Notamacropus eugenii: one gene and its partners. The protein of the gene in region 2 interacts with the protein of the main gene of each other region in a pairwise test. Links are inferred from orthologs where the notes say so. Each region holds a gene or a part of one and is shown on either strand. Other genes may lie near its edges.

Region 1 (7,896 bases), on a different chromosome or scaffold from region 2:
TTTCCCCATTTTCTAAAAGAGGAACCTGGGACACAGTTTTTGTGAGGAGGCAGTATGGAAAGATGGCCTGGGGGTCAAATTGTGGCTCAGCCACCTATTCCCTGGGCAAGTCATTTCTCTCTCAGTCTCAGTTTCTTCTTGTATAAAATAAAGGGGTTGGACTAGATAGCCAATAAGGTACCTTCCAGTCTAGAGTTAAGACCTTATAACCTAAGGCTTCTAGGCTGTTTCATCTGGAAGCATCTCCTGAGGTTGCCTAGTCTGAACCCAGTGAGGTAGACTCACTTTACAGATAAATAAACTGAGGTTCAGAAAGGTCAAAGTAGCTTGGCATAATGGAAAGAGGAGGTTTGGAGTTTTGATTCTGCCACTGATGAACTCTATGGCCTTGGGTGTCTTATAATCTCTCTGAGTTTCTGTTTTTTCATCTGTGAAATGGGGGCAGTAATCCTCCTGAGTAAAGGACTTGGTAAATCTTTAAAAGGTGTAGAAACACAAGTTTTTATTCTTTTGCCCAACATTATATCCAGATCATAAGCAGCAGGACTGGGAGCCCAGATAGTCTAATTTCAAGTCCAGCAGGTTTGATTTTCTAAATCATACTTTGTTGACTCTTTATACAAGCATGAGCCAGGCACAGAAGATATGAAAAGGAATGCTATCCCACAGTCTATGTTCTGCTTGAGTATGCTGCTTCCCTTGGGTCATATGATATGATCTGGGGGTGAAAAAGCAGGGCCAGAACCCAGGAATTCTGAACTCCCTTCTCCAGTCTAAACAGTCTATACTAGACCAGGATTTCACTGTCTGAAGTCACTCTTGGGTCCTGGTACTGTGGGATTTCTTCCAGGAAGCCACATCATGATGTGGAGATGACCCTGGGTTCATAGATGATATTACATGTACTGAAGTACCTACTATGTGCTGGGGAATACAAGGACTGCTCAAAGACCTTCCATTTGCTTGGAAAGGCTACCAGCCACCAGTAGATGATGGACCATGTCTGTCAGCCAAGGATTGACTGAGTCATCTGTTTCACCTTCATCTTCCCCCATCTCGGATTCCCCATCTGCCTCCTAGTTCTAAATCCTATGGTCCTAAACCCATGGTCACGGAGTGAGGAATATTGTACCCACAGAAGCTCTCGGAAGCCAGTTGCCAAATCACCAAGGCCTCTGTTAAAACCACCCCCACCCCCACAAAATCAGAGGTGCTTGAAGTAAACCATGAGGCTTAGAGCTAAAAGGGACCAAAGAGCTTATCTAGTCCAGAGCTCTTAACCCAGGGCCAGTGAACTTAAAAACATGACAACTCTCTCAATATAGTTGCTTTCCTTTGTAATCTGGTGTATCTTATTGTGTATTTAAAAACAAGATTTTAGGATGGGCTCCACAGGCTGACTGCCGAAGGGGTCCAGACTACCAGATAGACATGAAGAACTCCTTCATTCATTCAGTCCCTGCATTTTACTGAAGACAAAACAGCAGCCCAGAGAGGAGAAAAGGCCCTCTTGTCCAAGATCCCACAGCCAGGGAAGGAACACTCAGAATTCAAACCCAGATCCTTGACTCGAAATCCCAGACTCTCACCCCAAGCAAGTGCCCGGAAGCACGAGTTTCTAACTGTTAGAACTAAAGCAGCAGTGAGGTGATTTCAGCCTCCTGGGGAAGTTAGCTGGGACCCGCCCTTTCTTCCTTTCAGAAAGGCTTCCACTCTCCACTTTTCAGTGGGGGAGGGGAAACCTCGCAGCCCGTAGGCTTCTTGCCTGTCCCCCCGCCTGAGCTTTTGATCCTCCAGCAGGAGCTCCCTTGGCCTCTGGCTCTGTTTTCATACCCCTTGGAGATCTTTGGGGCTGGCAGGAAGTAGTTAGTCTGTGACAGTCTTCTAATCAGCATCTGAGGCCTCCCCACTGGGGATCCTGCATTTCCACTGGGGAAAGACCTGGGGTTGGAGGGACCACAGTTCAATACTCTGTTATTATTTGCGGGGTGATTTGGGGCAGCTGTCTTACTCTGGGTTTCACTTGCTTCATTTAACATAAAGGGGTTGAACTAAATGTTTATAATTCATGGAAGGGATCTCCAAGGTCAAATACTCCATCCCTTTCATTTTACAAATGGAGAAACTGAGCCCCATAGAGGCAAAGGTGACTTATCCACTGTCAAAGAATCATAAAATGAGAAGTTAGAAGGGACCTCAGAAGGCATCTGGTACAACCTCTTCATTTTACAGAAAAAGAAACTGAGGCCTAGGGAAGTTGGACGTTTTGAGCAGGGTCCCACAGTAGTAAGAACAGGGGATTGAAGCCAGGCTTTCTGAGCGTGGGCCCAGGACACCCTTTCCCCTGCGATATCTCTCTCCCTAAGGCCTCCACCCCTTCCAGTTCTAAATATAAGACCCCATGATCCTTCCTCTGATCTGGGAAGTAAGGAGAAAAGGAAAAGAGAGAAGAACCAGAGAAGGAAGAATCAGGATTCTGTGATCAAATAGATGAATATCAGGCTCTCTGGCCACACTGAGCAGCTCGACTAGTGGGGGGTGGAGACTCAGGCTTGTTCCCCACTAATTCGCTGTGTGCCTTTGAGAAAGGTGCTAAGTGCCCCTCACCAAATTTTTCTAGAGTCTAGACCTTTGTTTTCCCATCTAGAAAATTAAGGATTGCATTGTGGTATTGTTAACCAGATCTGGATTGGCGGTGGTTGGGTCGGATCCTGGGCAAGTCTCTGCTCATCTTTGGGCCTCAGTTTCCTCATCAGCAGAATGAGGGAATTGGGCCACATGACCAGTGAGGTGCCCTGCAGCTGTGACATGTTACCTATCTCCTGGAAAGTTAATGAGGTATTAAGGGGAAGGAGCACTGGCCAGAGCTCCATGAGCTAAAGGAATGGTAGAGTCTAGATGAGGTTTGGGGGTAGGGTGAGAGGAATCTATAGCTCCCACTTCCCTCCCCAAGGGGCCCTGGTGGGAAGTCCCCTGGGGTCAGTAGCATATTACATTGAGGCCCACTTCCTCTTCCTGGTGCTTGGTGCACACCCCATGCTGCCGGTGCACACCCCGTGCTGCCGTTACTCTCCCTTCGAGGTCCCAGCAGTCCCAGCAGAAGATGGGAAGAGGGGGGCACTGTGGCTGTGTGAGACATGAAACATCTTTAGGAAGGAAAGCCCAGCTCTTCAAAAAACTCAGTATCCCTGAACTTCTGTGAGGTCCAGGATATGCCCATTTGACAGATGAGACTGAGGCTCAGAGGAGGGAAAAGACTTGATAAGAATCTGGCAGTCAGGTGTAGAACCTGGTCTCCTGGTCCCATCCTCTTTCTTTCTTTTTCTCCTTTTTAAGGTAATCTTAGTTTTAGATGCCTTACAAATTTCTTGAGTAGCCACTTAAGGTTTTATATTTGCAAATCTTCTGAGATATATATGTAATTCTCCCTATTTTATAAATGAAGAAACTGAAGTGCAGTCATAGGAGTTCAGATCTAGAGTTGGAAGGAATCTTAGAGGTCATTAAATCTTATCCCCTTATTTTACAGATAAGGAAACTGAGGTCACAAAAGCAATAAGTGGCAGAAGTAGGATTGTGAAACCCATGACCTTTGACTCCAACAAAGCTCCCTCTGTCCAGGGTCACAGGTGCACTGTATGTATGTAGCCCATCTAGTCAGGGCCAGAGTAGAGTCTACTCTGAAGATTGTGACAGAGAAGCTGTGAATTTCAGCTCTGATATCTGTTTGTCCTTCACTGCCATCAGAGAAATGATGACATGACTTGCATTTGACTTTTGTTTTGAGTGAGGGAGGGCTGCGCAGGTCACCAGCCTCACTTCTCCTCCAGAGCCATCTGAATCCAGTGACCAGATATTCATCAGGATGACTGGGGATGACTCAGGATGAGAAAATTGGGTTTAAGTGACTTGCTCAAGGTCACACAGCTAGTGAGTGTCAAGTGACTGTGGTGAGATCTGAACTCTGATACTATCAGTGAGACTGAAGCCTGGGTCCCTCCTGTTCCGATTTCTCCTTTTATCACAGTTAATAACATGTAGTCAATGCATGTTGAATCTAATGGGATCAGGCCAAAGAAAGCAGATGGGACTCACCCTGATCCTCTGGTTCCAAGTCAAATTGTCCCCTCATAATTTTTATCTGTCCCCCAGAGTTGCTTCCAGTGTAAGTGGGGATGGAGATAAGGAATAGGAAATGCTGAAAACACAAACTGGGAAAAATAGAAGGTGGAGGTTAGCCCACCGATTAGAATGTGTGTTGGGGAAGGGACAGCATCGTCCAGACAAGATCCCATGAATGGAGGGATTCTGGTCATTGAATTTGAACTGGAGAGGGCTTAGACATTATTTAGATTGAAGCCCCTTCATTTTTGCAGATGAGGAAACTGAGGCTCAGAGAGGGGCAAAGACTTGCCCAAGGTCACACAGCAAGTCTGCCTCGGTAGAGCTGGATTTAAACCTACGGACTCCATCTGTAAATCCAGCGCGCTCTCTGTCACCCAAGAGAGTTCCAGGTCCCAGGAGCCGCCCGAACAGGCCCTAAGCCGAGGGAGTGAATGGGGGTGGGGGGAGCACCGTGCCCGGGTCAGAAGCAGGCCCGGGCCCCGTGCGGGCTTGCCCCCTCGTTTCCCCCTTTCAGGTGCGGCCCAGGAGTTCTTTCTGTCCGCCGCAGGTGGGGACAGGCACAACTAGGGGGCACTCGAAGGCGGGACGGGGGAAGTCAGCCAGACTGGAGTACAGGCAGACGGACAGACTGACAGAGCGAAAGACGGAGGAGTGGGGGTGGAGGCACAGTTAGCGGAGGAGGGTGGTGACCTGGGTTGGGGGAGGAGAGAGGGAGAGGAGAGGCCGGACCAGGGGGAGGGGGAAGAGGAGGAGGAGGAGGAGGAGGAGGAGGAGAGAGAGACAGAGGCTCCGCCAGGAAGAGAAAAATTGCCTCCCTCCCTGCCTTGGACCGGCCGTCAGTCCCTCCGTCCGCCCGTCCGTCTGCCGGGGCACAGCTTAGCGTGCGGCTCGAAGACTCCTATGAGCAGCTCGGGGGGCACCCCGGTCTCTCCAGCCCTCCCGCCAGCTGGCCACCCCAGCCCTCGAAGATGATGAAGAGGCAGCTTAATCGGATGCGGCTGCAGCTGTCCCAGACTGGGGGCTCGGGACGGTGAGCGTGGCTCTGAGCTGGCAGCGGTGGTGGGAGACGCGCGATGTGTGTGTGTGTGTGTGTGTGTGTGTGTGTGTGTGTGTGTGTGTGTGTGTGTGTGTGTGTGTTGGGGGGGGCAGAATTAGGGTTGAGACCACCAGTTGCCTCAGTGGCAGCCAACACCACCCCAAACCCCAACCCTGGGTTACAACCTGTTCCCTTTGCTTTCTCTTTCAACACCTCTTCCCCCCCCCCCCCCCCCCCCAAAAGAGGGCCTCTGGGAAGGGAAGTCTCGTGAGGTAAGGCCCCGACTCGGTGTAACCCAGAGCCGCCCCTCTCCCCGCCTCCCCACTCCTTCCCAACCGAACGAGAGGTTTGGAGTCCTCAGCCCATCCCCCCCAAGATGTTACAGAAGGGGGTCCGGCTTGGTTAGGAACAGGAGTAATCTCCACCCATGGAGGAGGGGACTAGGAGGGACTTTAGAATTTAGGAGTCAGAGTTAGGAGGGGCCTTAGAACAGAGAATGTCCCAGCAGCATGGGGCCTCCCAACTCACATTGTAAGAGCTGGGAGGGCTCTTAGAAAAAGGAACTTCAGAGCTGGGAGCCTTAGAACCTGGAAAGGCAGAGTTGGGAGAATCCTTAAAAAAGAGATGTCAGAACTGAGAGGTCCCTTAGAATCTGGAATGTCAGAACTGGGAGGAATCTTAGAACGGTTCACTTCAGAGCTTGCAGAGTTCTTAGAACAGAGGAAGTTAGTGTTTAGAGCTGAGTTTAGATCTAGTTTAATCCCTTCATTTACAGCTGAGGAAATTAGAAACTGTTCCCTAACCTCCCCTTGCCCGCCTCCTTTCAGGTTTCTGTAGTTCAGAGTTTTAGAGGTGGGGGTGGGGCTAGCCCTGAGCTGATGGAGGGGAGGGTCAGGGACAGGATAGCTAGCTTCTCACTCTGCCTGGGACTCTGGGCTAGTTTCTCCCATCCACCTCCCCCAACCCCAGTTTGGACCACTTAAAGAACTGAAGGTTTTAGGACTCTCCCTGGAAAGGAGCAAGCAGATAATGGGACTCTGAGACCCCAGGAGACAGGGGGGAAGAGGAGAGTCTGGCCGGACCCTGGCTCCTTGGAGACAATGACCCCTGGGGGACTTCTTAGAGGGGAAGAAAGCCTTCCAAGAGCTTTTATTCCCATATGCCTTTGTTTTTCCTGTCTCCAACCCCCTTCTCCCCCCCAGGATGTCAGTCCTCTGAATTCTGCTTTGCTTTTCCCAGGGTCAGGTAAAAATCCAGTCCCATTCTCAGGGCTAAGTTTCTAAACATCTGCTTTACAAAAACCAAAACCAGATGGCCTTGCCCTGACTCCCTCCCCATCCCCTCATGGGACCTAGAGTTCTCTTATGTTGTGTGTGGTGGTGGTGGTGCTGGAATAACTCACTGGGAGCCAGGATACCTGAGTTGTAATCCTGTCTTTGCTACTTACTGCTTATGATACCTTGGATAAGTCATTTCTCTGGACCTGTTTCCTCATCCTTCAGATAAGGGGGTTGGGCTCAGTGGACTCTGCAGTTCTGTGACTTCAGTGTGCGTTATGGGCTGTGCTGGAGAAGCTGGGGGTGAGGGAGAAGTGAGGAGAAAAGAATCTGCATTTCAATCTGAGACGGAGTTTAGAGGCCATCTAAGCTAAGCCCCATATTTTTGTTTTTGTTTTTTTTTTACAAAGAAGGAAACTGAGACTTAGAGGGGAAGTGATTTCAGATCGTAGCTTTAGTACTGTAAGAGATTCCAGAGACCATTTAACCCAATCCATGAATTTTACAGAGGGGGACACTGAGGTGCTTTAAGATTATAGGAGCATAGAAGTGGAGTTGCAGGGGACCTCAGAGGCCATTTTATCGATGAGGCAATTGAGGGCAGATTGGCCCAGAGCACTGAGACAACATTCAAACTCAACTTCTTTTTAGTGTTTTCTTCTATCCCCGAAGCGAAGCTATCCTCCCTCCCCCCACTTCCTTCCAGACTTTACTCCAGCTGTTCCCTATCATGGCAGCCCTTACAGGTTTGCTCTGGGGGCCCCTGAGAAGCCCTTCCTGCTGCCCTGCCCTGAGTTCCCAGGTGCAGCTCTGGGTGGAGAAGGAAGCAGCCCGACTTTGGATTCCCCACTGCTTTGGAATGTGCTCTGGCTGGAGGGGTGTGGGGAAGAATGAGTGAGAGACAGCGATCGGGAGGGACTGGCAGAATCCTTTCTGAATGGACAGATCAGCTAGGGTTCCTGTCCTCTCCACTCTCTTCTCAATCCCCTTTCAGCTCTTAGTTGGTCACCCTGAAGTGCCCCCCCACCCCAGTCCAGACTTGGCAACGGGATCATAGATTTGGAATTCCCAGGGGTCTCAGAGGACAACTACTTTGACTGCTCATTTACAGACAACAGGTACAGAGAGATGGCCAGTGACTTGTCCCGAGTCACACAGCTTTCAAGGCTACATCTTCCTTATTCCAAGTCCCCTACATCATGATATCTGTCAGGGAGTTCTGGGGAAGCAGGAAAGCAGGTGGAGTAGAGGTCTCCAAATTCTCCCCTCACCCAGTCTCTCTGTCCCCACAGTGTCCAAGAGACTGCTGAATTTCTGAGCGAGGACTTGCTTCAGGTATGGATATGGGCTCAAATGAAGTGAGGAGAGGCAGGCCTGTACAGGAGAGCAGAGAGGCAGAGGGAGGTAGCCAAATGGGTGGGATGAGTCACCAGAACCTCCTGGACTGGATTTCTTTTC
Region 2 (7,965 bases):
TCCCCTAACCATATGATTACATACCTGTAACTCTCCAACCAAAGCACTGCCACTCTTCTGCCTGTGTTGTCTCCAATTAGAATTTAAGCTCTTAATGGTGTGTATATTCATGGGAGAGTGTGTCCCAGGTCTGGGCAGCTAGTCTCTGGCAAAATGGCTAGAGCACTGGGCTTGGAGTCAGAGAAACTCATCTTTTTGAGTTCAAATCTGGCCTCAGACACTTACTAGCTGTGTGACCCGGGACAAGTCACTTAACCTTATTTGCCTCTGTTTCCTCATCTGTAAAATGAAGTGGAGAAGGAAATAGCAAAACACTCCAGTATCTTTGCCAAGAAAACCCTAAAATGGGGTCACAAAGTATCAAAAACAACCCAACAACAAAACAAATGTCCTTGAACAATAGGTGAAATATTCTACTGCTATTTTTTTTTTACCATATTCATTCTTTGAATGCCTTTTACCCTCCACTAATTGTGTTCACTAGCTGACTAGTAAAAGTAAACACAATAATGAGGATTTGTGAGCTATAGTTCTGACTAGTATGGATTCTCAGAATACCTTTTAACTTTTCTAAATGGACCTATTTGCAAGATGGTGGGTGTCCCAAGTACCATAATATACAAAATCACATTTATATATTATTGAAAAGTTTCCAAAGTATTAGACATACACCATTTCATTTAACAGGAGTGGGGAGGCACCCTAGGGACTGATCATCCACCCTCATCCCAGAGGGAGCAAAGTGAAGCAGAATCAGATGACATAATGTGCCGGTAGCCACCTTTCCAAACCTTCAGTCCCTCAGTTCTCATTCCATTAGCACTTCAGAAACTCAGAGGAGAGAGAGAGTGATGTGGTCCAGAGCTACACAGAGTCAGAGGAACTCAGTTCAAATCTTGCCTCTGATGCTTGTTACTTGTGTAACCTTAGGCAAGTTTAATTTTCCTAGACCTCAGTTTCCTTGTATGTAAATTGAGGATGTCGGAGATGGCTTTGGAAGTCCGTTCTGGTGCTGAAGCTCTGACCCCGAGGTATCCTCCGGTTTGTTGTTAGATGTGAAGACTTTTCCTCAGTGTCCATCCTTTTGGACCTCCTCATAGCCTTGGATATGGTTGACCACCCCTTCCTCCTCAGCATTTTCTCCTCTCCTGACTTTCATGACACAATTCTTTCTTCATTTTCTTCTCCTTCTCCTTTGCTGTACCATTATCCATGGCCTTAGCCCTAACCATAAGTACTACCTCCATTCTCTGTCCTGAGCTGCCTTCTCTTTTCTCACTGTCTGCTCTTGTTAATCTAATTAACTCCCAGAGGTTCAATGGTCATTTCTGAGCTGCCGATTTACAAGGCTTCTGTCTGCCAATGACTGTTCCTTTGGTTTGTTCAGGGCCCAAAAACCCCTCGATACCTCCTGCCCTTCTGAATCCTCAACCCTTTCACTCTGTTTTTTCATTCCCCTCAGCCCATTCTCCCCCATCTCCCACAAATCTCATGTCCCTTCAAACCATTCAGTATATAAAGTCAGTACCTCTGGACTCCCTCCCCCAGCCTTTCCTCTCTCAGCCCTAGCAACTCATGCCACATTCTTTGGTCCTGCCATCACCTCATCTTTCTTAGCCCCTTAATTCAGTTATATTCAGCAAACATCAGGCATCTACCCTGTGCAGCACACTATATTATGTGCTGGGTCTATGAAGATGACATGGAAAAAGTCCCTGCCTTTCAGGATGTCACATCCTATTGGGAAGATACAGTGTGGATACAGAGAAATAAATACAGTATAGACAATACGTAGTGGGTAGGTGCACCCACCATAGGTAAGGGGTTTTAAATACCTTGCTCAATTTGACAATTGATGACCTTTGTTCCTTGTTGCTCCCCAATCCCATGCTTCTGCTCCAGCTGCAGTGCTTTTTCCAGATGAAAGGGAAAACAGTTAGAAAAACAGCATTTACATGTAAAATGATACAAAGTCAATTCAGGAGGCAGAGAGTACTAAATAACCAAGTGACTAGCCCAGGTTCAAGGTACTCTGTGAATCTGAACTCCTAAAGCTATGGTGCATGATGTGTTTACCTTCAGAAGTCAGTCCAAGGATACAATTAGCTCACAGCAAAACAAAATAGCAGACTTAAGAAAAGCAGAAACATGTCTCCTCCGTAAATTTGGGGTATACTCTGCCACCAGGCCACCCAGCAGGATCAGGAATATTATATGCACAGAGCATGCTGGAGTGTGGTGACAAACCTGGAAGGAACTACAGCTGCAGGGTACCCTGTCCATCACTTGTCTCCTTGTCCTGCTCCATCTCTGCTGGGCCCCTTGGGACTTCTGTGGGATTGGCTGCATGGTACTGAGGCAAGGCAAGCCTCTAAAATCTTCAGTTTTGGTATCCATTGACATCCAGGCCTAGGGTACTCTCAGAAAGAGTTGGAGTCCACCATTGAGGACCAGCATGAGTCTTGGTTCAGGGGCCTACTCCCTCACAATCAAGATCCTTACTTTAGTTCCTTTCAAATAACTCAACAACTCCACTTCACACCATAGCTGTCCCTTGCTATCAGCCCTCCCTCACTCAAAACAAAATCAAGTGCAAGTCATGTCATCATTTCTCTGATGTCATGGTCTTCTTTGAAAGCGAAGGACAAATGCAACCCCTTCTATGATGTACTTTGTCTGCAAGGGACCACTGCCAATGAGAGGTGGGGAAGGATGAGAAATAAATTCTATCTCCCCATTTGTTGCAGGAAGGAAGGAAGGGAAGGACAGAGAAAAGGAGAGAAGGAACAAAGAAGGGAAAGAACGAAACAAGTATTTATTAAGTGCCTACCATGGGCCAGGCACTGTGCTAAACTCCACAAAATATCTCATTTGATCCTCAAAATAATTCTGAGAGGTAGGCGCTTTTATCATTTCCATTTTATAGTTGAGGCCAATAGAGGTTAAGTGACTTGCCCAGGATCAAATAGGTAGTGTCTGAGGTGACATTTGAATTCCGGTTTTTCTGACTCCAGGCCTAGCGTTTATATCTTGTGATTTTACCATGTGGATCAGTGAGACACAATTGAGCAGGATTATCCTGATCAACTCCTTTCCCCCAAGTGCTTTAAGGATATCAGTTTTGTAATTATTAGAACAATGAATTAGAGATGGGTGAGACTGAAAAGAGAGAGATCAATTAGAAGGCTAGTCCAGGAGAAAGGAAATGAGGGCCTTGAAGTGGATGGCATAGAGATATTGATGTAAAGATGTTATGAAGACAAAATCTGTTTAAAAGAAATTTATTTATAATTCATTTGTTTTCTTTCCAGTTTTGAATTCTCTCCCTTCCCCCCATTAAGAAAGCAAGAAAAACAAAATCCATTGCATCCACACATGTGTAGTTAAGCAAAGCAAATCCCTGCATTAGGCATGAGGGAGGTAGAATCTTAAAAAAATGACAGCTTCCCCAGCTCCCTGGACCAGAAACCATGTCCTGGAACACAACCCTTTTAGCTCAGGTCCCTGAGACCCTGATTGGTGAGGTCCTGGCTGTGGCCCACTAAATCATGCCAGCTCCACTCCCCCACCATTTTCTCACCAGCTGCCTCCAAACCCCTGCCCCTCTAACTCTGGGACTGTAATCAGATCAACACTGCTATTGGAAAGAATGAGTCAATCTACCTCCCTGGGATGGTGAGGGTCAGAATTAGGAGACAAGTTAAGTGAGTGAAGATAAAGGAGACAGATGCAGAGATGGAGGGAGACTCTGGACGAGGGTTCACCTCCCTCTGGTTCTTGAAACCTGTAACATCCTTATAACTATCCAAACCAAAATCCCCTTCCCTGGTTTCCCCTTAAGTGGTTATTTCCCTTTACTAGAATGTGAGCTCTTTGAGAGAAGGGACTATTTCCCTTTTGGTTTCCTATCCCCAGAATTGAGCATAGTGCTTGGCACAAAGTAAGTGTGAAAGAAAGGTTCACCTTATACCTATCAGTTACTTAAGAAATGTTCGTTAGTTGACTGGTTGGTATTTCATTCATTTATTCCCTAGGTGCACTTAGTACCTATGTGCCTGGCACATAATAGGTGCGTAATAAATGTGTAGTGGATTTATTGGATCCCAGAATGATGGAAATGCCAGGATGACTTGAGTTCAAGTTTCTCTTCCGACACATGAAACTATGTAATCTTGGACAAGTCTCTTAATCTTTTCCTGGTTTGTGCAGCTCTGGACTCTGATTTGCAGAGAAGGAGATGACTCAAATTGGCGGAGATAATTTCCACATTTCACTAGTTCCCTTTACTAATAAAACCACAGGCCTAGTCTCTATCCCCTATCATTTCCTGGAAGGGGGAAACTGAGGAAAAGAAGCAAATGAGAGAGTAGAGGGAGTAGTGCTCTGTTTCTGTCTTTTCAGGAGCAGGACTTACTGCTCCTGGGATATGTACAAGGTTAAGGTGATAGGAAGAACCTACAGAGGTAGTATTATAGATTAGGTTGTTTTAGCTTCCAGATGAGGACACCGGCCCCATTTAGGCATGGTGCAAGTTTCCTGCCTCCCAAATGACCAGTAGGTGGGGCACGTGTCCCAGTGGTGACTGAACCTCAAGGCTCCCAGGTCTGCCCTTCGAAATTTTGGGGTGTGGGCTCCCCAGAGTGCAGACACCCCCCCCAACCTGTCTCTCCCCACTCCCCAGGATCTGTAAACACTTAACTTTTTTAAAGGAACAACAACTGATAGGGTCTTGGGCGTAGTCTGAGGGAAGGGATGATTTTGGCTCCATCTAGGACCCCAAAGTGGCTGGGAACCAGGGAGACCTGGACCCCAGCCCAGGCAGCGCTAAAGACTACAGACAAAGTAAAGCCAGTCCAAGCAATAGGACGAGGGAGAAGGAAGAAAGGGGCAGGTTGGGACCTTTCGCCCCATCCTTCTCTTTTTATCCCAGCGCCTCAAAGAGTTTTACAAGGTGGGAACTGACTTTTATGGGCTCTGAGGTAGAGGTCTCCAGGCCTGGGACGGAGGTGAGAGTAACTTCCCAGTCCCTCAGGGCAGGGTGTCTGGGGTGGGGGCGGGGGAGGGGGCTGGGGCCGATCCAGGTGGAAGTGAATCAGGTGGTAATTAGGCCTGTCTGAATCCCAGGAAATGGAATGGAGTTAAACGGAGTTGAGCAAGGCGGGACGAGAGAGCTGCTAAGGCAGTGGGGCTGGGGACCGCTCCACCAGCCAAGGTCGATCTGTCTCTACATTTCTGATGCAGAGGAGCTGGGGGCCTTGGGGTTTGGGCAAACCGGGCCAGGAAGCAGAGGGTTTTTTTTGGGGAGGGGGGGTGGCTAATGGAGCTGACCGCAAGGTGGCCTTGGAAGAGGTCAGGCTGGGGTAGGATCGAAGCGGCTCGGTTCCCCCCTTCCCTCACCTCCCCCCGCTCCCGCTCCCCCGCCTCCCACCGCACACCCTCTTGTCCTTGTGGCCGGAGACCATTAGTGGCGACAAGGTAGCTGTCTGGAAACTGGCCCTGTACTCAAAATAACCGAGTGACCTCAGCCTCCTGTCTCCTCTTCTGTGTGGTCTGGTCTGGGGAGCAGGGGAGGGGAATCTGGCCATGTCCCTTTAAGGGGGGAAGGAATTTGGCAACGGGTTGGCTTCTTGGGGAAGCAGAAAAAGCGTCTCGTCCCTTTAAGAGATTGGGGGGAGGGAGAGAGCGGGAATGAGGGGGTGGGAGGTCCCAGGAAATCAGTTGGAGCTGGATAATGAATGGGTTAAGTGGCTGGAGGTAGCTCCGGGGCTTTAGAAAGAGTCCTAGGTCTTTAAAAGGGGGTGGGGTGGATGCCCCTCCCCTCCCACTCGCGGCCCCACCTCTCCCCGACTTTCCATTCCGAGGTTCGGTGGCGCTGGGGAGGTAGAAGGCGTGGCTAGTTTGAGGGGGCGGGGCTATGCCGGGCCAGGGGCGGGGCCTGGAAGCGGAGGGCGGGGCCGGGCCCGGCCGCGCTGGGCTGGGGCAGTGTCTCGGGGCTGGCGGCGGGAGCAGCATGGATTGGGGCTCGGAGCTGTGGGTGAGTCTGCTCCTGGCCCCCCCCCCCCCGCTTCTTCCATCGGCACCCCCCGCAGTCTCCTCGGGGCCCCCTTCCAGTTTTCTCCTTTGCCCCTGTCCCGGTTCAGTTCTGGCCCCCTCCTCTCCTGTTCCCCCTCCGGGTTAGTTCTCTCGCCGGCCCCCTCTCCCAACTCTCTCCCCGGCCCCCTGGCATTTCTCCTCCATTTCTTTCCCATTCCCCACCACGTTCTCTCCTAGTTCCCCCCAGTTCCCTCTCCGTTTCCCCCGCGTCTATTCCGGTGCCCCCCGCTCAGTTCTCTCCCCCTAGCTCAGCCCTCGGGCAGCTCTCTACACTTGGATTTCAGCTTCTCTTCTCGTCCCCCTCTCCGTCTCTCAGTCCCCCGCTTCCCAATGTTGTCCCAGTTCCTCTTCTCCTCTTGCTTTCTCCTCTCGCCTCCCGGTTCCTTGCCCAGACCCTCTTGCAAGGTCTCTGCTGCCCCTCCCCGGGTGCTTCTTTCCCTGTCCTCTCCTAGTCCTTCTAAGCCCCTACTTTTCTCAGTTACCTCTTTCTTTCTCCTGTTCCCTCTCCCGTCCCAGTATGCTTCTCCTCTTGTCTTCCTTCCTATCCCTCCCCAGTTTCTCCCACTTGCCTTCTTCCCCACTGGAATTCGAGTCCTGCCTTTTGTCACCGGCCTCGCCGCCCTTTTGAACTATAGGGTTGGAAGGGTGGCAGAGAGAGCTAGGGCCAAGGAACTCTTTCCCCTTTCCCTTGTACTGACCTAGCTGACCTCAACCAGTTATTTATGCCGCATTTCTAAAGCGCCCTTTGCCAGTGGGACCCTGACCCTCTTGTCCCACCCACACAGGATCCTAATATCTAAGAGGGCGTATATTCCTGGGTCTGTGCGTGGAGGCTGGACTCTGGAGTCCTATAGGGATCCCTCTCCTTCCCATACTCTTCATAGCCCTGAGGAGGCCAGGCCTGGCTAGACTTGGTGGAGGGGGACTAATGGTCCTGGAGAACCAGAGGATTTTCCAGTGGTTGGGACAGACCACTCAGCAGCTGACCCTTGATTTTTGGTGGGTAGAGTTGGGGGGACTTGTCAGTAGTGACCCCTCCCTTGGCTTGAGCTACTGTGTTTACATCCCTTGCTCTCCTCCCCCTCCCACCCCCCCAACAGGAAGTGGATTTCCTTCCCAGCCTAATGCCTGGGCCAGGGATCCCAGCCCTCCCCCCACCCCACCCCCAAAAGGCCCAGTCCTTAGGCTGCCTGGGTCCCTTCCCCTGGCTGGGCCTCAGGCCCTCCTCTCCCCTGTTTTGTTTTCCTTACCCCTGGCCCTCTGGCCCTCTTGTCTCTCTCCCTCTCCCTGGCAAACCAGTTTGTCCTCGATGGATGTCTCATAGTTTGGCTCCGATCAGCCTGGACCTCTGGGAGGGCTTCTAATCTCAGGGTGGAAGGAAGATTCCTCTCCACCCCTCCAACCCCTAGCTCTTACTCTGGCTCTCCCCCTGCTCTCCTTGACTCTCTGGCTTTGGGAACTCCTGGGATAGATAGTGTGATAGATTGGAGGAATGGAAATGGGGAGGGGGGACACTGACTTCATGGACTCTTGGCCTCAGGGCTCAGTCAGGCGCTCTGACCAGCAGCAAGTGGTCCCAGTTGCTGAGGCCTTCCCTTGGAGAAACACATGATTTTTGGTGGGTCTTGACCCTTCATGGTCTCAGTTTCTCCACCCTCACTTTTGGGCCTGGGCTAGATAGGAGGAGGATGAGCTGAGGCCTAGGCTGTACTGGGGGCTCTGGAACTAGGGTCATTCCCTAGGAATTAAGTTGTCTTGCCAGATGAAAGGCTCGTGTGTGTGGAAAGCTGGAATAGGTCACCTATTTTGAGCTCCCTGACCAGGTCAGACCCCTTCTTATCTTACTGGGTCTCTGGGTCTTTGCCCAGGGGC
Region 3 (7,640 bases), on a different chromosome or scaffold from region 2:
ATCTATCTATCTCAGCCTGACCATAAAATCACAGCAGCCTTGGAAGACTATTTAATAAAAGTTATAAATGGCTATGATTTGTGAAAGTTAGGAGAATCCATATCAAGGAAACTATAAGTCCTTGGCATTTTTAAGAAGAATGTAACAATTATAGAAGACATTAAGGAAACCTAGAAAATCAAGAACCACTCTTCTTAGAATTTCACATTGCTAACCAGGTATTGAATATTACTAGCAGTCACAATCCTAACATGGCAATAGATTAAATGCTTATTATCACGTGTCATTCTCTGACCACAGTTTGCACAATGTTGTCATCCCTTCATCGTAGAGCTCATTTCACAAATAGCCAGCTCTTTTATTTAAGGGTAAATTCTAGTAAATATGGAAAGCTGAGCTTTTAAAATTGTCTTTATGCCAAGTTAGATGGTATATGTAAAAGCATTTTGTAGATTGTAAAGGGCTTTTCAGATGCATGGTATCATTATTATTAATAATAACTTATCATTGTCATCCGATGTATCACCTTCAAGTATTAGCCAACCTTAAATTACATCTTCTCTTGGATATTTATCACTCTTAGGCCATTTGGGTGTTCAGGCAAACACAATTAATTAGTAGGAGTAGTAATAGTGATAGGTGTTTAAGGTTTATAGTGCAACATCTATGTTTGCAACACATTTTACATGAGATTCCTGTCAGGTAAATTCATATCATCACCTAATATTGAAAGAGACTCTCAAAGGTAAAAAGACTTGACCAAAGCTCCTGTGAGTCAGTGGCACAGCTGTGATTAGATATTTAAGTTCCTGATTTCAGTGTTTGAATGCAACTTGAAAGATCATATTGCTTTTGGCACCAAGCAGACAAATGGGAAGAAAAACTTCCTAGTCATCTTCTATGTTTTATTAACTATACTATATTATATTTCCTTTATTCTATTTTATTATATTTCAGTCCTTAACCCATTCTCCTCAACACCGTGAAAGAGTTCAATAATAAATAAACAAATAAATAAATGATGCACTATATTATACAACCAGGTGAGATATAAAGACAAATAAAACACATTCTCTGATCTCATAGAGCTGACAATTTAGCAATGTGCTATGCTCTGACACATCTATAAACATAAATATATTTAAATATAATTTAAATATAGATGTACTTAACAAATATAAACATATTTATATATAAATATGAACATAAACAGATGAAGATACATATAAATAGATCCAGTGGCCATAATATTAAAAAATGATGTGAGACTGGAGGAAGGGAAGATAAAATTTAATGAGTTTAGCACAGTGGCTAGTACATAGTAGGCACCATATAAATAATAATAAAGAGCTGAAAGTCTAACTCCTTTCTGTATAGTACTACTCCTTCCTTTTACAGATAAGGGGAAACTGAGACCTAGAGAGATGAAGTGACTTGGTTGGAATACAGATGGAAGCAGCAGAAGACAGGATTCAAAGCGGTTATCTGACTCCAATATCATTCTGTCTCTGAGTAGGACTCAGTCAGTGAACTGATTTTTGGGTCAATAGCCATGAAAAAGTCGTGCTTTGCGATGTGGCCCCTGTAATTTTCAAAGCCTGGCAATGTTTTGCAGCTCTGACCCTTGAACTTATACTGTAATCTCTTGCTCAAAAAAGAACCATCCTAGCTCTGATTGCAATGTGATTACACTGGTTTCTGGCATTGTTTCCTGATGTTCCACAGCATTATATAAAGTTATGTCTCATTTTGTCCACAGTTTTTTTAAAAAATAAAATGGAACAAGTTGGTCAGAATGTGACAATGCTAAGGAGTTTTTATTGGATGTTTTCAGTTTGTAAGTCTGATTAATTAGTGTACTGGAAAGAATGGTGGATCTGGAGCAAAGGATATGAGTTCAAACCATGACTCTCATTTCCTGCTACCTTAGGTATGCCACTTTATCTAGTTTCTTCATTTATGAGATGGAAGGCTGGAATTAGATGTCTTCTAAGGTCTTTTTTGAATTTAGATGGAAATCTAATGTATTCTTATTTATTTAACAACCACTGATTAAGCAACTATTCTTTGTAATGCACTATATTGCATTATAGGTGTGATATAAAGACAAATAAAACACATTCCCTGATCTCATGGATTTAGTAATAGATTATACTTTGATACTTATATAAATGTCAAGTAGCCATAATATTTTTTAAAATGCTACATGAGATTGGAGGAAGGAAAGATAATGTCCAATGGGCTTAGCATAGTGGCTGGTATATAGTAGGCGCTATATAAATATTTACTCCCTTCCCCTTTCCCCAGTGAAAATTATCAGGCAAGGCTTCATTGAAGGGAGGGCATTCTGTTTAATATGCAACGGCTGAGATGGGAGGATTGGAAATGGGCAGATCTTTACTGAACATAGCAGCAAGTCATTTGAATTGGTGGAGATGCAATGTGAAAGGGGAGCTGTGGGAAACAAGTCTGGAAAGGGAAGAAGGGGCTCCTTTTTTTAATAAATAGGCCATTTTGTGACCATATGTGATTAAGGGTTCTGCTCTAGTACTATAATTGGCTCTGATTCACTCAAGGAAAAATCCCTTGATGATCCAGTTTGGTTTAAATATGTCGGGTTTTCTAATTCTGTGCAGGGAGTTAGACTGACAGGGAATCTTTGAATGCATAGGGCCAACTTGGACTTGGGGTGGGTCTGTAGGCAGAGTTGATCCCTAGACCTCCTTTTCCTCATCTTTTCCCTCTGATACTTCTAAAATCCACTTTATACTATTGACTCACAAGCATGTTATTAATATAGCTTAGACACCACACTCTTCTTTCAAAAACTTTTCTTTTTTTGAAACTAAAAGGCCCTTATAGCTGTTGATCTTAAAACCTGCTCCAATAAAAAGAAATGCCAAAGAAGCCATGAGCTCCCCCTTTCAACAGCACCCCTTATTTCTACTAACTCTTCATCTTTGACATTTCTTCCAAATTTCATATTACCCCAACTTGAGTCAACCCTTTGCTTTTACTCAGTGCTACTGATTTTCCTCAATTTAACTCATAATTTAACTTCAGTTTTTGTAGATGTTTGCTTAGCCTGTGACTTAAACTTAACACTCAGCAATGCCCTCATTCTTTCTCCAAAATAATATTTTAAAAGAGCACCAGAGGGCTTGGATCCTAGATTGGAGGAAGGAGACGATGGGCCCTAAGAGTCCAATTATGCCTGGGCCACTGGGGAAAAAAAACAAAAACAAAAAACTATTCTGTAGCAATAATGACTCCCCTTCAGGATGCCTAGTGAGGTAGATAAACTTGTTAAACAGCTCCTTCCTTCAACCAGCAAATTTGCTTTCCCAATAATGCTGGCAGTTCCATTTATAAAGTAAAGCAGGGCAGAGATTTACCTATTCATTTTCTTTTTTTTCCTTCATCCTCCCTTTGTTCTTAAATTCCTCACTTCTTTTTCCTCCCTACAACTTCTCATCTCCACATGGCTCTCAAGTAGTCAGTCAGTCAGTCACACATTTCCTAAGCACCTACTATGTGCCATACACACACTGTGCTAGCCCTCTGGGGGTACAAAGAAAATTGCAAAAGACAGTCCCTGCTCTCAAGTCTCAGTCTAATGGGGGAGACCACATGCTAACAACTATGCACAAACAAGAAACAAAGAATTGGAGATAATTAAGAGAAGAAAGGCAGTAGAACTAAGGAGAGATTAGGAGAGCCTGGAAGGAGGCTGAAACAAAGAGGAAGAGAATTCCAGGAATGGGGGACTTGATCGCCTTCCTAGACTGATAGGAAATAACCATCCATTCCAGCTGTATAGCATTTAACAACTTTTTAAAGCACTGTGAGATCCATGATCTCATTTGAACCTCATAATGACCCTGAGAAATGGACAGGTCGGAAATTATAATAACCTCTGAGGAAACTGAGGCTCCCTGAGCCTAACCTGCTCCAAGTCATATGGCTAAGTAAGGGAAGGGGAGGAAGCTGGGACCGAAACCTTCATCAGCTGACTGCTAATCTGGTGCATTACAGCACCTTTTATGACCGGAACAGCAGCATGCCACACAAATTGGGTTACAGGGTCCATCTGACCCAGGGCTGTCCCATCAGCCTGAGGTGGGAGCCTCCTAGCATCTCAGCGAGGGCGGGGACTGTCTTTTACCTCTTTTTGAATACCTGGCACATAGTAGGCGCTTCATAAATGTTTACTGAACTGAATTAATTTGTCCAAACTCCATTTGCTTCCATCAGACTCGATCCTGGCCCTGCCTCTCCGGGCAGGGGCTTTCCTCGGAAGTCCGTGCCACTGTCCCCACTTGTAATGAGGGGTGAAGGCTGCTCTTTTCCAGTGTGTGGAGGGAGACGTTTAAATGTCCACCAGGGGGAAAAGCGCTCGCAGGTCAGGGGCTGTAACTTCCCAGGGCTAATTTTAAACCGTTACTATCCCGGCATGTCACCTTAGGAGAAAACGAAACTACCCCAGCCCTGGGGCCCGCGGAGGAGGCGGCCCCAGCCCCCGGGCCTGGGGGAGGGGCGGGCGGCCCCAGTCGGCGGCTCCCGGGCAGGCCTCCCAGACTAGCTCGGAGACGGCCCGACCGGAAGTGACGCGTCTGGGTCCCGGCCGGGGCTGGCCGGGGGGCGGGGCCGGGGCGTCGGCTGGTCCCGGGAGCTCAGTGCGAAAGTTGCTGCCGCCCGGACACTATGTAGGAGCAGGCAGGGCTCGGCCGCACCCCCACTTCTCTGCCCGCGAGCCCCGCCGCACCCCCTGACCCAGGACACGCCGCCTCCCCGGCCCCACCGGACGCCACCATGAAGAAGCAATTCAACCGCATGAAGCAGCTGGCCAACCAGACCGTGGGCAGGCGAGTGACCCCCCCTTCCCCCCACCCCGGGCCATTGCCCCGTACTGCCCCGCCCTGGGCCGGCTTGGTTTCCCCGAGCCCCTGCTGCGGGCTGACCCGCCACCGCCCTCCCCTTCGAACCTGGCGGTGGGCGCGAGCTAGCTCCAGGCCGGGTCCCAGAAGGGTTTCGCCCCCGGCGCGCGGGAGCCTGGCGGGCTCCCCCATCCCCCGCCACTCCCCTGCTCCTTAAGATGGTCCATCCGCAGCGACCCTCCCCGGCCCCGGGCGCACGGGCAGTCAGCCGGCCCTCCTTCTTTCCCGCGTGCACCGCGGTCTCCGAGCCTTCTCTGCTCATGTGCCTGGTTTAAAAAAAAAAAAAAGTGGGGGTTTGGGGGACTGCTGGACTTACCTTTGTTTCTCATCGAGGAGAGAAAAGCAGTGTAATTTCTAGGAAGTTTAGTGTGGGTGGAGGACAGCACTGGCGGGAGGGGGGGGTGTGGGTATGAACTTGAAATCCATTAGAGGAGAGTGAGAAAGAGGAGAGTTTTCACATTTTCAGAAACTTTCTCTAAGATGCTGCCAGCTGATAGGGCCTGACGGTCTAGCGGCTCTGGTCCCTTTCTTGGGGCAGGTTCTTGTTAATTTCACGGTTGATACTTGGCGGTTGGAGTAATTAACAAAGTAGCAACACAGTCGGGTTCCCAGGGATGCATCCTTTTAGTTTTCTGGAGATGTCATTTCGCTGCTTTGAGTTTTGTACCCCACCCAACCACGCCATCCCCCAGAAAGGTGAGACTTGTACTTTCCTCCCGAGACAGAAATTCAACTGAGCTTTACAGTGTTTTGGAGTTAACTTTCTGAGCTTCCTACTGTGTGCCTAGGAGGACGCTATTAATTTCTTGTTTCTTAATAGTGCCTGGTGGTACAAAGTTTATTTTTTAAAATTAAAGAAAGTTCAGATTTTTTTTCCTCTAAATTTAGGGAGGGATTTTATAGCATTTTGGAAAATCACAGACATGCTTCGTGGTCATGAAGCTATCTTCGTGAAGCTATCGGCTGAGAATGTTTTAGAATATGACTGCAACAGATTATTGACTTTCAAAGTTGCTGAATCAGATATATCATCCAGAAAACTTTTTTTAAGTGTCAGATTTGGACAGATTCAACTCTTTTTGCCCTTTTACTATTTTAGTGGTTGTGGCAATGAATGATTAACAGGGAATACTGTAAATTATTAAGTTAGTGTATAAACATTTGGAGAGGACAGAGATTTTGTGATCAGGAATCTTATCTGTTGGGTTTTGGTTGTGGGGTTTTTTTTAACTCTTGGAATTATGTACAAGGTGTCTTGGATATGACAGTGTCTTACTGCCCTTTGAGCTGGAGTGAATATTCAGTGTGAATACACAGAATGGGAAAGGACTTTAGAGAACCACTTGTCTAACCTCCAATTTTACAGACGCTGAAACTGAGGTTTGTAAAAGGAAAATTACTTGCTTAAGGTCACAAAGCCAGATAGTGTAAGAGCTAGGATTAAAACTGAGGTTGCCTTTAACTTCCAAGTCACCATTCCTTCCACTACACCATACTAGTTGGCTTATAATAATTATATTGTTTATTCTGGCAAATTACCTATTTTGTAACTACTGTTTTTTATCAGTTAAATGAAATTGATAATTAGGTTAGCTGCATGATAGACATAATAGACTTTTGTCTGAATTTAACATTTATTTAAAAACTTCCTCTTTGTTTTAATTTGATTTTCACTGTTTCATTTCCTTCAGCTTTTTTTGCTTAGCTTAGTTGTTAAACTCTTCAGTTGCTCCACCCTGCTGTCTTGGTATGCTTCCATCTTATTTTCAGAGTTAACCCCTTCTTCTAAAGAATGTTGGTTCGTTCCTGTGTTACTGGAAAAAATTCAGGCAGGGTACATGTCACGTCACCATTCTGATCCTCAGTTTCCTTGTATATATAAAGCGATGGTCTCTAAAGACTTTTCTAACACCCACAATGTATGTTGGGAGATCCCTTTCATTTCTATCATTCTGTGACTTTGAGTGTAGTCTAAGAATTTGGTGGTTTGCAAAACATCCTCAGAAGCTCTGTTGACTTATTTTCTACAGGATTTACTTATTATTTATATCACTTTCAAGTCTATCCTTGCTGAGTATTATGAAAACAGATTGTCTAATGATACATAGAGCATCCAGGTACCCTATTTACTCAATTAACAATTTTCGCTGTATTTGTTTTCTTCTGAATTACTGGTATTGCAATACAGGAAAAAGGATGCTAGGCTGGAAGCTAGGGGACAGGTTCTCACCCCAACTCTGTCATCATCTAACTGTATGATGTTAGACAAATTGCTTCACTTCTCTGAAATTCCCCTCCTTAAATTGAGGTTGGGTTAGATGCTAATCTCATTCAGCTCTGAAATCAATTGATTCTGAATTTTACTATTTTCTCAAGTTAACACTGATGGAAAGAGCAGTGGATTTAGAAACAGTTCTATTTACTACAGTTTCGAAATTAATTGAATGACTTTCCATCTTGGACCCTAAGTTTTCTCATGTGTGCATGAGGAAGTTAAGCTGGATGATCTGAGGCCCTTCCAGCTCCAAATTCTGTGATCCCGTGAAGACCTGATGTCAACTTACTTTGTGAATTCAGACAAATCTCTCGCCTGATTGGGCCCCAGTTACTCTGTAAAATAATGGATTGGACCAGCTTTTTAAGTATGAAGACACCTCTTTCTTAATGTAAAAAATTCATTCCTCACAGAGTAGAAACATCTTC
Region 4 (7,761 bases), on a different chromosome or scaffold from region 2:
CTCAACTATCATGACTCCCATTTCTATACTCCTTCATATAATTAGTTTCTTGAATTCTTCAGTAACCAAGGTAAGTAATGTAAGTCACTTTAAACCACATATACATTTTACTTTTTAGGAAAACGATTAATAGTGACTTTTCCTTTTCTGCATCCTCAATCAAAATGTGTTGAGAATTATTCAAAAATTTTCAGTTTCAAAATGTCTTATTCAAATATATCAGCTATATTTCTTTAATGAATTTACATTTGAGTCACAAATACTTAGGATGTTGTAGAGAGCAGTAAATGAGCAAGTAACCCAAGTGCTAGTCACAATTATTAATAGCTAAAACTCAAAGTCTAAGGATAAATAAAATGTCTCACCCTGAATACAATACACCAAGAGAATGCAAGTGGAAAGAGTTATAGTAGCAGTCAATGTCCTTAGGTCAATTTGCATGTTCATCCTTTGAGGTATTTTTTTAAGATCTCAGGCTTAAGAAAATAAAAGCCTTGACAGAAAATAACTCCAACAAATCAACAAAAACTTTAGGAATCAACTGTGTTCTCCATAAGGCGTGGATGTTTAGACCAATTATGCTTGCTGTGTTTCTAATGCTAGCTCTTGGCTGTTGTTTTAGTTTTAGAAAAAATGTTTACTCAATGCTTCTTTGCGGTCACAAAATGCTAAAGACAAAATTAACCTTCATTCATTCCAGTTTGCTGGATCTGACATATTGAAAGAGCAAGTTATCAGAACTACATTTGTATATACTGTTTTTGCTTGACCTTGACACACAAAGTAGAAGGTTTCTAAACTCCTCCTTCCTGGAAAGCAAACCAGGAACACAAGTGGCCTGGTCCTGCTGAGCTTTGTGTTCTGCTGGATCAAAAGCCAATATACTGGCATCATTCACTATGGAGGCGGCTGCAGCACCACAGCAGACTCAGCACTATTTCAGCAAGAACTGTAAGAAGAATCAAGTCAGAAGAGTCTCAAATTGAGATTTTTAAAATTCTAAATCTGGCAAAGCATTACATTTGAGAGCGTATTCTCTATGCTTTTATTTAGATGACCAACCCAATATAACAGAATAAAGGTTTGTTCTAATTAGCTCATTATTGGCAATTAACATTCACAGACTGCAAAGATTCAGTGACCAATAAACCAAGGGTTACCACAAGAATCATCAACATTTCACATACAAACATAGAAAGTTAATTTAACAGCAATCAGGAACTCAAAAGATTGTCTCTTTACCTGCAGAGTTAACATGCTCATTGAAATCTGATTAGCAGAAACCATAGAGTAACATTTGTGTATTAAACATAAATCACAAATAACAAATGTATACAAACTACACAAACAAATAACATATGCAATTCCTCTTGGCATAAACGTTAAAGAAAGTTCACAACTTCTGTAACGTTACAATAAAAACTCCTATAAAGTTACCTATTTCACAAACAAACAAAAAGATCACCTACAGTTTCAGGTGATACTAAAAACTACTTGAAAAGTTCTAAGACAAACTTTTTAAAGTACATCAGTTTTTACCTCTATCACCATTATTTTAAAATGTTACCAAACAATATCCTCAAAGGAAAACCCAACCCAACTAATGAGCCCTTTCACCCCTAGTGACATGGGCAGTGGAAGACAGATAAACATTTGAATACTTGGTAATATTTTTATATATTAACCGCTATTGTTTATCACTTTGTATAAAGATGTCTTTGCAATTAAGGTTGTGATAAAAAACATTCAAATTTCAATTTCAAAAACTATCAAAGCTACATTGGATATTTTAAAAAAGCAAACACTCATTCAACAAACATTTATAGACTCTCTGGTATGTGCCAAGGACAATGCTAGCTAGGTGCTTTTGGGGAACACAGGGATCTGTATAAGCTAGGGCTCCTACCTCTGGGAGTTTGCAATCTATAAAGGAAAGAAGATAGTGCAGAAATAACCATACAATCAGTGCACTGATAGGAATAACTGTATCAGAATGCAGATTTCTAAAGTGCTTCCACTGACAAAACAAGACAAGCTTTATTTTACATTGTTACAACACTACAATCAAAAAAATTTTACCCCCAGTTTTCTAAGGAGGCATGGATTAGTTCAATGATTTCAATATAGTAAGTAAGGTTACATTAAGCCTTTATTAAAGGTTCTAAATGGTATTCCTCAAATAATAATAAGGAGTAAAGTGTGACTCACCAATGAAAATGAAACTACTTAAATGTTTTTCAATAAAGAATACTTAGATATAACACACTAATTAGTTAAATTTCTAAATGAAGATTCAGCTAATAACCATTGCTCTCCTGGTCCAAGGACAATGCCTATGATGCCAAGGTTCAATCTTCTGACAGAAAGAATGGATTCCCCCGGACTATGATAATGGGCTCAAGAAGTACATCTGAGTAGCAGTATCATCTTTATATACAAAGATACTGGAAATATGGAATGCAACAGTCACATACCCCAAATCCTCATATTTAACACCATATTGATTTTGAAAAATTTCTGTGCTAGTAAGGGTCAGCTCTAGGCTCTGGAAGAAACTGATGATCAAGGATCCCAAGTACCTCTTCCCTCTACAACTACTCTCACCTAGGCCTCCAAGGGTGTTGATTCGTCTACTAACAGAACTCCTGCGTCATCTTCCCCAAAAGATTTATGAGACCATCCCATGAAGGAGATCCTAATATACTTTAGTCCCACTCCCCAGTCACTTACAAAAAAAAAAAAAAAGACAATCTAGTTTGCCTTTGGAGGCAACAGAAGAAACCTGGGTATAAATTCAGGAGTTTCTCTAAGGACGGACCCTCTCCTTCTCCCTAACCCCCACCCACCTCTGTACTCATAAACTCCCCACTTGCCTACTCATGGCCAAAATGTCTTAAAAGAAAAAGCCTTTCAGTCTACAATTATAGATAAAAGGTCACAAATACCAAAGGAGATAACATATTTACAAAAATCATTCTACTTACTTTAGTGGTCATCAGTTTACCATAAATTAAACATAAATAATAACAGATTTCCCCAGTTTTGATAGGTAATGAAGGAAAGCATCAGGACTTTGAAGAACGCTTGCTCTATCATGGTGTGGATAAAGGATACAAGAAGAGAAACCTGGAAAAGCAGAAGATGAACACAATTTTGTCTAGTCAGACCTATTTACGTCCAATATAAATACAAGTTGTGTATTTGTATACAATACAATGTATACAATACAAATACACTGCAGTATTGTCATATAATATGGGGCAGCTAGATGACCCAGTGGATAGAATGCTGTGTCTGGAGTCAGGAAGATTCTTCCTGAGTTCGAATTTGGCTTCAGACACTCACTATCTGCATAACCCTGGGCAAGTGACTTAATCCTGTCTGCCTCAGTTCCTCATCTGTAAAATGAGCTGGAGAAGGTAATGGAAAACCACTCTAGTATCTCTTCCAAGAAAACTCCAAATGGCATCACAGAAGATCAGATATGACTGAAAAACAATTTAACGTCATATAGTTAGAAATGCAGACAAATCTTATGCATGACTTACAAAGTTTGTTGTTTTTAAGTAAAGAAACCCAGCTGACTTCATACAGATAAGTTTAGCTCTCTGGAGATTTATTCCTTGAGGAATATAATGACATAGGTCATTATATTCTCAAATGTTACATAGCACTATAGAAAACAGCTCATTACATAAGTGAAACTACCTGAAAATACTGTTTCATTTGTATTGGGAACAATGTGGCACAGTGCATAGAATACCAGACTTGGAGATAGGAAAATCAAGATTTGAGTCCTGCCCCTAACCTATACTGGTTATGTGAGTTTAAATAATCACTTTCTCAGTCTCAGTTTCCTCATCTATAAAATGGGAATAATGATAGTACTCACCCACCAGAGTTGTTCTGAAAATCATCAAATTAAATAAAGAAGATAAAATACTACCCCACAGATTTGGACACAAAACTCAAGGTCTTAAAATGCCATTGATAACCAAAAATCTGAAAAGTCATGTGGTATTCTTACCTCTTGAATACCAACAATGATTCACAACATATGATGCTCACAGAAGGGACTGACAGGGCAAGTGGCAAGTAACCAAGTAAAGTTTCAGTTGTAGCGATACCACCACCTAGCTGTATAAATTTTGTTAGAGATTGGACTAGATGAAGTCCAAGATATGTTCTAATTCTAAAATCCTACAATCTTGTTATTGTTCTAGTATTCCTAAGTATTATCTAGAGCACATGAAAAGAATTAACATTTTGGATGAAAGACTAAAATCAGGAAGTATATTCGACTACTTTCAATCCCTGCAATTCATCCACCAATGCAGATCATTACCCACGGTGACATCTCAGATGATGGTAAAAACTTGCTGTGTTTAATAAGAGGTACTACCCTGTTGCCAATCTAATATAATCTAATATAATAAGCCTATGCAAACTTAGCTAAAATGGAAAGGAGATACACAATCTATTATACATCCCATATTCCAAGACTTTCCAAATTGGCAGCATCTGCCAGACCTTAATTTCTACTGCTATAACCTTCAAGAACCCAGAGAATGCCAAGTCACAATGAAGTAGAGGATTTTAATGTTAAGGAATCTACCGTAACAATGTATATAGTGTGTGAAACAAAGTAAAGAAACACAAAACGGTAATTGGCTGTCATTATCATTGCCATACACTGTCCATTTTTCCTGGTTATTTCTGGTTAATTCAACAGACTAAGAGCTAACTACCACCTCTGATGTGCTGTCTACCCATCTGTGTGTGTATATGCGTGTACACACATGCACATAGATGTATGTGTATATATGTATGAGTGCACACATATGTACATATAATATTATATATAAATTTTACATACATCCAAGTATACTGGAGTAGTACAAGTAACTTGGAGTAGTCAGAGAAAGTAGTACTTTAGTCAGTCTTTGAAGGAGATGAAAAGGGAAGACATTTTAGATAAGGGGAACTGTGTGTGTCACAGGATGAATGTAGTGTTTGTGGGACAATGAGAAGTATCTAACTATGGTAAAGAGTTTGGGTGTTACTGAAGAATGCAGATGATTAAGATTGCTATCTGAAGTTAGAACAATAGCTATATAAATGATAGGTATCTAGATTTCTTTCAATATAGTTCTAACTCTAAATAGCAGTTCATGTATCAGTTATAGTTTGAGAATTTTTTATTGTAGATTCCAGGTCTATAAAGTTAATGTCAACTATTATTTCACTATTTTTCCTAAAGCATAATAAGAAAGTACTGCAGATTAATTCAGAATTAACATGAAATGTTCAATTTTCTAAATAAGGGCTCTTTATTTTCTTCCATATCTGTCTACTCTTTTTGAGTTATCAATTGAGTATCACAATATTTCTCTTCCCTTTAGAAAGGGGTAACAACTGTAAAGCACTTAGAACAGCACCTGGTACACAGCAGGTGCTTAATAGATGCTTGTTCCTTTCCCCCCCTTCCTCCTAAGGATCAACTTGCAACTTCTAGGATAGTTAGTATCTCTCTATTCTCAAATGTTACATAGCACTATAGAAAATAGCTCTCATGCACCTATCACAGTCCATTTTCTGTTATAGTTATTTGTGAATGTCTTATCTCCCCTACTGGATTATAAAATCCTTGAAAACAGAAATGTCTTTTATATATATATATACATATATATGTATATATATATATATACACATATATGTGTGTGTGTGTATATATATATATATATATATATATATATATATATATATATATATATATATATATAGTATCTTATATATTGTATTGTATCTTTGTACAAAACCCTTAGGGTTGAATGTCATGCCTCCCTCAAAACAGGTGCTCAGTAATATGATTGTTAAACCACTTGGATTTGAAAATGGCAACACTATTCTCCTAGTCACTCAGACTTGAAACTTTACAATCAGGTTTGACTGATTCTTATTTTCATTTTCTACAGGCAATTACCAAATCCCTACTAGTCTTCCTTGAGACATCTTTCATACTCCTTCCCTTCCATTTCACTGTCACCAAGTCAGGCCAATGCTAGTCATTTCATGCTTAGATTACTGCAACAACCCTCTATAGCTGACCTCATCAACTCATCTCCCCCAATTCCAATCCATTCTGTATAGCATTGTCAGAATAAGCTTTCTTACATTACTTTATGATCAACAAGATTTTTGCCCTCTCAATAAAGTTGTGAGGAAGGAGCTTTGTAAACTGTCAAGTACTATATAACTGTGAGCTGCTATTTTAATTGTGAGAGCATTCCAACCTTTCTAAGCTAACTTGCACTGAATAAATTATGCTATAGGATCCTATATATCTATACCCTGTGAAAACTGTCATTCAGAAAAAAAAATCTGAGACAATCATTTGAATGTGTAACCTTCCTTTCCTCTGTCACAAATTCTAAGAGAACATTTATTGCCATTGCATCAACTATCACCTTCTTCAGACCCTGGGGGGACTTTGTGCTCAAAAGATCTAGTAAACAGCTGTGCCCCCCATTTCACACTCCCTGCTTCTAACCTAGCTCTTGCAGCCATCACCCAGGGAATTAATCTGTATAGAACGGTAACCCGGAAATTACTTCTGCAGGTTCTGCAGCAACCAGAGCTAGAGACAACTCAGAAAAGATAATTCTCAAAGTCCTTAGAACTGTCAAAACAGCTCAACCTCACAGTTTCATCAATGGAAATGATATTAAGGAAAAATGTATGACCATCTACTTCACTGCTGAACCCTAAAGATCACAGGACCTTTCCAACTTACTCCTATACATGCTGTCTCCCCCTACCATAATGTGGACTCCTTGAGTGTATCCAAGGCATTAACTTTATATGTCTTCACCTGTGGTAAGAACTTACTAAGTGCATTTTAACTCATTCAACATCATGCCAGTCCTCTCCTCCAAAATTTTCAAATGTTCTTTGCTACCAAATCAACTCTAAGCTAGCTTTGAAGGCCTTGTATGGTTGCACCCTACCACCTCACCATCCACATTCTCCAGTAACACTCAAAACAAAATCTTCACCCTCAGTGTCCCACAAACACTACATCCATCCTCTAAGTCTTTACTCTCATCTAAAATGCCTTCTTCCCTTTTCCCTCCTCCTTTCCACCATCTTCAAAGCCCAACTAAGGTCCCACCTTCTGTATCTCTCTTCTCAACACTGATCTTAAATTATTCTATAACTGTTTCACATGTGTTGTTCTTATCTCCCCAGCTAGACTGAAAATTTCTTAAGGGGAAAGAACATGTCTTTAGGTTAGATCTATTTCTCAATCAACAATTATTCATTGAGTACTAACATGTGCTACATACTACATAAACAAATACAGTATACAATGTAAATGGGAAATAACATGGGCACCAGTAATTGGGGAAAGAGAACAAATGACAAGGAAAGGCTTCCCTGGGGGACAGCACTTGAGCTAAATGTTAAAGGGAGTTGCTTAGGGATTCAAGGCAGAGGCAATGAAGAAGTACATTAGAGGCATGAGGAATTGTCTGCAAAAGCTAATAAAATGTCTCGAACAAGGTATATGTAGCCAATAAGCCCTTTTAGTTAAGACTATAGAGTGTGAAGGAGAATAATGTGTAAGAAGTCAGTAAAGACAGACTGGGGAGAGATGAAGAGATTTAAATGCCAGAGATTATATTTTGTCCTAGAGGAACTAGGGAGCCATGGGATCTTGTTGAAGAGGGTAGTGACATGGTCTAACCTGTGTTTGAAAAA

What was found.
Region 1: the proteins of TRIP10 (region 2) and SH3BP1 interact in binary tests that used the Homo sapiens proteins (3 or more experiments, as listed by UniProt). The two-hybrid records come from large-scale screens. The link is inferred for Notamacropus eugenii from reciprocal best matches to the Homo sapiens genes TRIP10 and SH3BP1.
Region 3: the proteins of TRIP10 (region 2) and ARHGAP17 interact in binary tests that used the Homo sapiens proteins (3 or more experiments, as listed by UniProt). The link is inferred for Notamacropus eugenii from reciprocal best matches to the Homo sapiens genes TRIP10 and ARHGAP17.
Region 4: the proteins of TRIP10 (region 2) and ABL2 interact in binary tests that used the Homo sapiens proteins (3 or more experiments, as listed by UniProt). The link is inferred for Notamacropus eugenii from reciprocal best matches to the Homo sapiens genes TRIP10 and ABL2.

What each region holds. Positions count from the first base shown.
Region 1 is NC_092874.1:294,919,046-294,926,941, forward strand, and holds the start of SH3BP1 (SH3 domain-binding protein 1), read left to right. Parts: upstream 1-4,892; 5' UTR 4,893-5,093; coding exon 5,094-5,155; intron 5,156-6,065; exon of another isoform or gene 6,066-7,556; intron 7,557-7,730; coding exon 7,731-7,773; intron 7,774-7,896. UniProt on the Homo sapiens protein: GTPase activating protein (GAP) which specifically converts GTP-bound Rho-type GTPases including RAC1 and CDC42 in their inactive GDP-bound form.
Region 2 is NC_092875.1:75,265,654-75,273,618, forward strand, and holds the start of TRIP10 (cdc42-interacting protein 4), read left to right. Parts: upstream 1-4,952; 5' UTR 4,953-4,967; coding exon 4,968-5,006; intron 5,007-5,937; exon of another isoform or gene 5,938-6,010; coding exon of another isoform or gene 6,011-6,034; intron 6,035-6,345; exon of another isoform or gene 6,346-7,092; intron 7,093-7,965. UniProt on the Homo sapiens protein: Required for translocation of GLUT4 to the plasma membrane in response to insulin signaling. Required to coordinate membrane tubulation with reorganization of the actin cytoskeleton during endocytosis.
Region 3 is NC_092872.1:60,714,644-60,722,283, forward strand, and holds the start of ARHGAP17 (rho GTPase-activating protein 17), read left to right. Parts: upstream 1-4,637; 5' UTR 4,638-4,812; coding exon 4,813-4,865; intron 4,866-7,640. UniProt on the Homo sapiens protein: Rho GTPase-activating protein involved in the maintenance of tight junction by regulating the activity of CDC42, thereby playing a central role in apical polarity of epithelial cells.
Region 4 is NC_092873.1:466,391,519-466,399,279, reverse strand, and holds the start of ABL2 (tyrosine-protein kinase ABL2), read right to left. Parts: upstream 3,001-7,761; 5' UTR 895-3,000; coding exon 771-894; intron 1-770. UniProt on the Homo sapiens protein: Non-receptor tyrosine-protein kinase that plays an ABL1-overlapping role in key processes linked to cell growth and survival such as cytoskeleton remodeling in response to extracellular stimuli, cell motility and adhesion and receptor endocytosis.